Nothobranchius furzeri: one gene and its partner. The protein of the gene in region 1 purifies or fractionates together with the protein of each later gene. This does not show direct contact. Links are inferred from orthologs where the notes say so. Each region holds a gene or a part of one and is shown in the gene's direction. Other genes may lie near its edges.

The links.
Region 2: the proteins of bach2b (region 1) and mafk purify together in Homo sapiens (co-immunoprecipitation; 3 studies listed by BioGRID and IntAct, with this or other methods). This does not show direct contact. The link is inferred for Nothobranchius furzeri from reciprocal best matches to the Homo sapiens genes BACH2 and MAFK.

What each region holds. Positions count from the first base shown.
Region 1 is NC_091743.1:91,361,507-91,365,426, forward strand, and holds the start of bach2b (transcription regulator protein BACH2), read left to right. Parts: upstream 1-1,490; 5' UTR 1,491-1,710; intron 1,711-3,920. UniProt on the Homo sapiens protein: Transcriptional regulator that acts as a repressor or activator. Binds to Maf recognition elements (MARE). Plays an important role in coordinating transcription activation and repression by MAFK.
Region 2 is NC_091745.1:5,294,256-5,298,175, forward strand, and holds part of mafk (transcription factor MafK), read left to right. Parts: intron 1-1,612; exon of another isoform or gene 1,613-1,689; intron 1,690-3,167; coding exon 3,168-3,246; intron 3,247-3,320; coding exon 3,321-3,758; 3' UTR 3,759-3,920. UniProt on the Homo sapiens protein: Since they lack a putative transactivation domain, the small Mafs behave as transcriptional repressors when they dimerize among themselves.

The sequences.
Region 1 (3,920 bases):
CTCACTGATGGTAAACAGTAGTTACGTCCCTCCTTCCTTTGTTTTAGGAGAAAAACCGACAGTCCAGCAGCCAGCTGGATATGAAGCATGTTACATATAACCTTCCTTCCTAAGCGACTAGTTTGTGGGGTTTACTTTATTATTTGGAAGGATACCAACTTTTATATCTATATGTATGATTGCCTGAACCCAACAACAACAACAATGATGATAATAATAATATCATCATGGCCCCCCAGACTCTGGACCTCTCTCCCCCTGAGCCTGAGATCAGAGGACTCAGTGGTCTCCTTTAAAAAGCAGCTGAAGACTCACTTGTTCAGGCTTTGGTGTGACCTTCATCACCTCTCTCTCCTCATTCCACTGGTTTCCCTCTTTCCTATTTATTTATTTTCTCCCTTCCTTTCCTACATTTTTAAATCACAATTTTTATTTTTTTCTCATTTTAAACATATTTTTAAACATTTATTGAAATCTTTTTTATACTTTAATTTGTTTTGTTTTTGTGAAGCACCTCCTGATTTTTATCTTGAGAGGCACAACAGAAAATATTGTTTTCTTTCTTTCTTTAATACTAATAATATTAACAACAACAATAATAATGATAATAATAAATGTTATTGTTTTTACTGCCAATGTTTTGAGGCAGAAATTTAGTTTGATGAACATTTTATTTTTAAAAAAACTACGTTTTTGAACATTTTGTACTTTCCAATCCAATCCAATGTTATTTATAGAGCGCATTCACAAGGCATTACAACCAAACAAGGCGCTGTACACTAAAAATGTTAGTTAATTAAACAGGTAAAAAAAAAGTTTATACAAACATGTCGAACACAGATAAAAGATAAAAAGGAAATACAACAAAATTCCCAAAACAAACAGCAAAAATAAATAAAACACAGGGAGAATAAAAAATTAGAAAAATAAATAAAAGAAAAATCAAGTGCAGACATTTCTTATATTAATCAAAATCCAGAAGATCGTAAATTAAAACCCAGTTTTCCTGAATACCGTGCATGCCAAAAACAGGAATGTGCAAGTGCAATGGTGCTAGTACTAGTATAATTCTCCTTGGTGCTGCTAGTAGTACTATAGTAGTACTAGTTTTCATCGTTGAGCTCTGATTCAGAAAAATGAAGCTCATTCTCGCCTCGTCTCCACTTCTCCTCTCAGGTTGTGAAAAGTGCCTCGTGTCATCGCGGTCCCGCCGCGAGCACCGGGGAGGAGCACCGGGAGGATCTGTGGGGAGGGGGGAGGGATTTGAGCTAACGGGTCTGCGGTCCCATTCTCGAAGCTCCGCTGCGCCAATTCCGCGGCGCACACGCGCGCCTCCCCCCTACTGTAACGCAAGGCAGCGCGCGCCTACGATGTTGTGAATGAGGGAATGAGGTGACGTCAGCGGCCGAATGTCAACAATGTAGCGACTGAGAGTAGGCGTTCCAGTCGAGTGTAACAAACAACGGAGACGGAGCGGCACGCCGCGCGGGAGCACGGCGCACACTCACACACATCCACACGCGCGCGCTCGCGCACGTTCATGACACACGCTGTTTTGTATTTTTATACCGTTAAAAGCGAGAAGAATAATCCGGGACGTGATTGGTCTGTATGCGCCGAGAGGCTCCGAGGAGACGGCGGAGCGGGTCATCATGTGAAAGAAGTTCTGTTGGACCGACGGGCTGGAACACACGAACCAGAAAGCAGAAGGTAAGCAGCCTGCGCGGCCACTGCCCACACCGGGACCCGCCTGGGTCCGCCGTGTCCCAGTTTTACTGTCAAACTGGAGCAGAACCGCGGCTGGACCGAACCACCAGGTCCCCGCTGGTTCTGGAAGGAGTCAGATAGAGAGAGAAGCACGAGTGAGAAACCGCACGCTTGGTGCGAATATTACTATATTACTGAGTGTGTGTGCGCGCGCGCGTGGGTGTGTAGGGGTGTGAACGCGGGTTCAGGAGTGAAACACAACTCCACCACATCCTGTTGTGCTTTGAGTCAACGCGGCGCGCGCTGCCTTTTCCTCAGTTTGTTCAGGTTTCGGTGCTGCAGGAATCCCGAACAGCGCGGTCTTTAAACGCATCACTCGGTCTTTAAACGCATCACTCAGGCATTAACCACAGTCTGTTTTGTTCAGACTGCACCATTCTCCTCTTTGTTTTGGCTTCATGTTCTACTCTGGGTGGGAGCACACACACACACACACACACACACACACACACACGGCTCCATATTTGCTGCGTAAGCTGGGTTGGTTCCGATGGTCCAGGTCGGTTCCGTCACAGATCCGTACGTGAGCGTCGGTGTAAATCAGCTGCGAGTCAAACAGCGGCGTCATGTGAGTGATGCTGCAGTGAGGCTTAGTCACCCCCACCCCCACCCCAAGGTGGACGGTGTGTGTGTGTGTGTGTGTGTGTGTGTGTGTGTGTGTGTGTGTGTGTGCGTGTGCGTGTGCGTGTGCGTGTGTGTGTGTGTGTGTGTGTGTGTGTGTGTGTGTGTGTGCGTGTGTGTGTGTGGCAGTGCAGATTTTGATTTATTCAGGATGAATGATGTTCCCTCCGCTCAGACTAATTGTAGCTGCTGCCGTCTTTGTTCACTACATCACAGAATGAGGAGCTGCGTGCACGCTCGCGCGTGAGAGATGCCATGCTAATGACGTGAAGGCAGCATTCTGCTATCTGATCTTCCTCTCATCTGAGATGATGAAGAGGAGTGATGCTGCAGTGAGGCAGCAGTCTGAGGAGCGGTGACACCCTCAGCATCCCGCAGCATCCTTTGTCTCCCACAATGCTGATGCAACGGAAGGGGGGGGGGGGGGGTAAGGGGGCCCGCACCCCCCACCCCCGCGGTCCCGGTCCTCCCCCCGGAGCCTGATGAGGACGTTTCTAATCGTTGTTGTTTAAAAAGATAGCTGACGTAAACATCACATCTTCACTGACTCCGCACGGCTTCACAGCACGTGCGTGGAGGCTGCAGACATGCGCAGTGTCACCCACGGAGCCCTTTGTTCTGCACGCGCTCCCGTTCCGAGCATCTCTCCTGTTTATTGTGAGGAATCAGGGTTTTGGGGGAGGGGTCGGATGGAGCCGCAGTGACTCAGGCTTTAACCCGCAGCTCCACGGGAGCATGGCCTGGATCGTTGTTCTGATAACAACAATTATTATTATTATTATTATTATTATTATTATTATTATTATTATTATTATTATTATTATTATCAGAAGCTTTGGTGGCCCGCTGTAGTCACGAGGTTCTGGTCCTATTGGGCTCTAGGATGGAGATAAAAGCACCATGCACCACTGCTACGTAGGTTATTACATCCTTGCATTTTCTAAGTTCTGAATAGCTGTCCACTGTGACCTCTGGGGTTAAAGGTCATAGGTAAAATCCTGTGAATGGAAAAGAAAATCTGCAAATGACCTGTTCATGAAACATCCTCTAAAAGGTTATTGTAGAATCAAACAAGGTGCATCAGACTTTAGTCGGACACAAAGGAGCGTGTTGCAGAGGTGTTGCATCACGGTTTCTGATTGGTTCTTCTGCCTCCGTGGCTGCAGGAGCTGGAGCTTCAGCACCAAACGGGGGAAAATGAGAAGAATCTTTCTGAACATTCCCTTCACACCTATGGATTTTTATGTTTCTGTGGTGTTTTGTGTGATGATGGAGGTGAGAGCCAACATGTAACGGATGTGTGTGGACGCTGGGTCAGAGGGGAGATGAGTGGAAGTCATCAGTCCTACGGCCGACAGGCGGAGTTTCCTACAAACGCACACGAGTGAGACAGAATCACTAATCATTCATTAATAGAGGATCAGTGCTTATGGATGAAAGACTGACCAGCAAGAGATGATCTCACAGCATCCCTGGAGGGGGTTTAAAACTGTCATGTTCCTGTTTTAAATCCTTTTCTTGAGCCAGGATGT
Region 2 (3,920 bases), on another chromosome or scaffold:
GCATATTTCTTTCCTCCATGAGCTCCACAGGGAGTACACCGAGGGACCCCCTCTGACGCAACTCAAACTTAGCCTGTTGCAGTCAAAAAATGTTTAATATTACCCCTTCATCTTTCTTTAAAGCTTCTGACATCTAAATTACGCCGTTATTTCCAGCAAGGACGCTGGAGAACTTGCCAGATGTTCCTTTCCTAAACAGTCATTTTCTCTGTTTTGAACTTTCTGGGTGTTTGGCAAGTTAACTTCCCATTCAAGCCTTTTTAAGAGCAGTTTCTCCCATTTGAGGGGTTGTTTTTCAATTTCATTGCACGGTGGCCGTCGTAAAAAGTGACGGCTAAATTTTAAAATCATGATTGCCGTCCCAAATTGGACTGTCACTCCTAGCGTCTTCCATGAAGCCAGCAGCTCACAACGCTGATGTATCACTTATCGCATACGCACCTAAACTGTTCAGTTGGCAGAAATTTGTGTCAGCAGTGGGAGCTAAATATATCCGGCGGAGTTAAATAAGGGCATCGAGCAGCTCAGGAAAGCCCAGCGTAAGAGGATCCAGCCAGAGAGAGACGGCCTTAAATCGATAGACTACATTGTCTAACAGTAAAAATACATCAGTGACTATAAAGGAAACTATTTCCCTGTGACACTGCACAGCCTGGAATTTTCCACCCGCGAGTTCAACGTAACTGTAAATGTTATTCTGATGTGTGATGAGGAAGTAGAGCAGTGAGACATCAACTTAGAGGATCAAACCCTCCACAGAGATACAAGCAGGCTCCAATTCATAGATTAAATCAGCAAAAGCTTTAAAGACATAAGGTTCCTGGTATAGTTGTTTTTGGTACTATTTATGGGCTGTGCTGTGGTTATGAATGAGACATGTTTACCCTTTTAGTGACCATGTGACTCATGCTCCCACGCCCATCTGCAGGGTGTTGCCATGGTAGCTGTGGCGCATGGAACAGTGCACTCTGAGTTGAGCCGGTCTGCAGGTTCTGAAATGGAGCCTTAGGGGATGTTTGGATCACAGCTTAGCCTGTTTTATTTATTTATTGAGCCCCAGCAGCAGCAAGTGAAGTGTGTTCCCCCATGGGGATGTACGATGATGAGCACAGAACGGCCTAACACCAACTCGTTAAAGCACAAAGTAAACGGGGAGAAAGGTTACTCCTTTCTGCTTGTATGTGACCACTGTTCTGTTAGGGTTTTATTGTGTCCTACTGCCATCTTCTGGCACCTGTGGCACAAAGCAAGCCAAAATACTGATATCATGTGCATGACGTAAGCCTTGGACAGAGGAACGTCAGTGTCAGTGCTGTTTTTGCTGATCTGTTTTAGATGTGATAGGAGACCAGAGGTTCCATCACTGAAAAGGAATGCGATTATTGGTATTATGTTATGTAGGATTGCGTCAAAGATAAATTGTTTGTTTTTTGGTTCTTTGATTGTGTCGGGGCATTCCTGGAAGCCGGAGGGATTGGCCATCCTTCCTATTAGGAATGGAGTAAGAATGTCAGTTATATTTAATTACTGTGTTTGCTTAAATTATGAGTTAATCCTTAAGATATGATTTGAAAGTATACACTCACCTCTTCCTGGTTTGTCTCCTTAACAGGGCAGGGCAGCAAAGAGAGATGCAAACCCAAAGTGCTGCTGAAAAGCTCTTGGAGCCTACCATTTAGAGAAGGAGGGGTGAGGCTTAGAGAAGTTATGTTAAATTAAGTTTGCTTGGTTGATTGACTTTAGATTTGTTTAAGTTTAATGAATTGTATTTATGTAAAGATTTACTGGTACCATTTTAATGTATTTGGTGTTAGGTGTATGTAAATATTGTTTGGTTTTTGTTTTCTGATTACCCTTTTCTTGGTCTCTTCCAGTAATCACAGATGTTATAAAGGCAGCAAGCTGTTGTAGAGAGGGAGATTGGTTGTTTCTGGGTTCAGGTGACATGGTGTTTCAATAAAGCCATCTCAACCTTACTCATTGTTTCTCTCTGAACTGGAGCCTCCACCGGTCAAAGACTGACATGGAAGAAGCAATTATGAATACCAGTACAATAAAACGGATTAGTACTGACATTTAGCCATTTTTTAAAGAGCAAGTTCACTGAGAAACACTATTTTTTTAAAATCTTTTTATCTATTTTGAAAATGATCGGTCACTCTGAGTTGAAAATGCAGGCTGAACATGAAAATAGTCTTCTACCCCCATGTCCTGTATTAGCTTCTGATAGGAAACAGAGAAAAATGCTAATGCTGTCATTTAACATTCATGGACTCATCTTGACTCACAACGGGGAGTGCTGTTGTTGGATTAGCGTCCAGGAAACAGCAGAGAATGTTTTGTCTAATAGAAGCTAACCGTTAGCATTAGCAACCACCACACGGCAGAACTCCTTCAGGCCTGTGTTGTTTGATTGCATATCAGTGTTGCAGAGCAAATGGAGTCAGTGGTGGACTTAAGTTGCCGTTGGCCAATCAGAGATTAGATGTCCGAATATCAGGAATTAAGACTCCAAATCCTGCCGTCTGAAGCAACTTTCTCCTCTGGCAGACTTCTAGGGCTGGGTGAATGACTTATTGTGTTGTGAAGAACCATGTGGGGTTGTAGAACCTTAGAAGGTGCTTTACAAATATAGGCCATTTACCATTTCTAAAGAATGACACCTCTGAGCATCGTCATTTTGAAAGAAAAAACGGAACCCTAACAAACTCAATCAGTCATGATCTAAAACCCTGTTAAAATTGTTATATTTACTCAGTTACATTCACATGAAACAAGCTGTGCAAGCAACTCAGGGTCTTTTGAGTCACAGCAGCCTGAGACCTGCTGCAAAAATATTCACAAAACAGCTAAAGATGTCTGACGGACACATGTGGGTCGGAGCTCAGAATAATGAATCTTTGATTTACCTTTGTCCAATTCCATTTTAATCTGCTGAAGAAGGTGTTTTAAGACTGTAATTCTAAAAGTTTCCATCTGGATCTAAACATACTGAAATGAACTGTCTGCAAGGTGGTTTATATTTTTCCTACAAGACATCTCTCTATGTTCAGTGACATAAAAACATCAGCAAACCTATGGAGCTGAGATCTAGTAACCGTAGCAACATCTGAGCCAGTGTTTCATCACATGTAACGTGGTACTTAGTTTTTCTCTCCTATCCTCAGAGCAGCTTCTGGGAGATTCTGGTCAGTTTTCTGCATGCAGGGAATGACGACTCCTTTTAAGCCGAGCAAAGCTTTAAAGGTAAGCGTGTGAAGTTTCAGAGATATCTTCTAGTCGTTTGCACATGAAGCTCATCCACTCCTCACATCTTGCAGGTCAAGAAGGAGGTGGGTGAGAATGCCCCGGCGCTCAGCGACGACGAGCTGGTGGCCATGTCTGTGCGGGAGCTCAACCAGCACCTCCGCGGGCTCACTAAGGAGGATGTTGTACGGTTGAAGCAGCGTCGAAGGACCCTAAAGAACCGCGGCTACGCTGCTAGCTGTCGCATCAAACGTGTCACCCAGAAAGAGGAGCTCGAGAGACAAAAGATAGAGCTGCAGCAGGAGGTGGACAAGCTGGCTCGGGAGAACGCCAGCATGAGGCTGGAGCTGGACGCACTGCGGGCCAAGTATGAGGCCTTGCAGTGCTTCGCCAGGACTGTGACCCGAGGGCCGATGTCACCGGGCAAGGTGGCCACCACCAGCGTCATCACCATCGTCAAGTCCTCCAACCACAACAACTCCAGCCCAACTCCATTCTCAGCTCAGTCCTAGTGCTCATCAGGACTGGGCGCCTGTGTATCCCGCCTGGTCCTGACCCGGCCTGAACCCACTCATCCCGTACTGAGAGGACGCTCAGTAGTGTTCGGACTGAGGGATGGGATGGCAAGCTCTATGTGATCTTATGCCGCATTCACAGTTCTGCCCCCGCCTCTG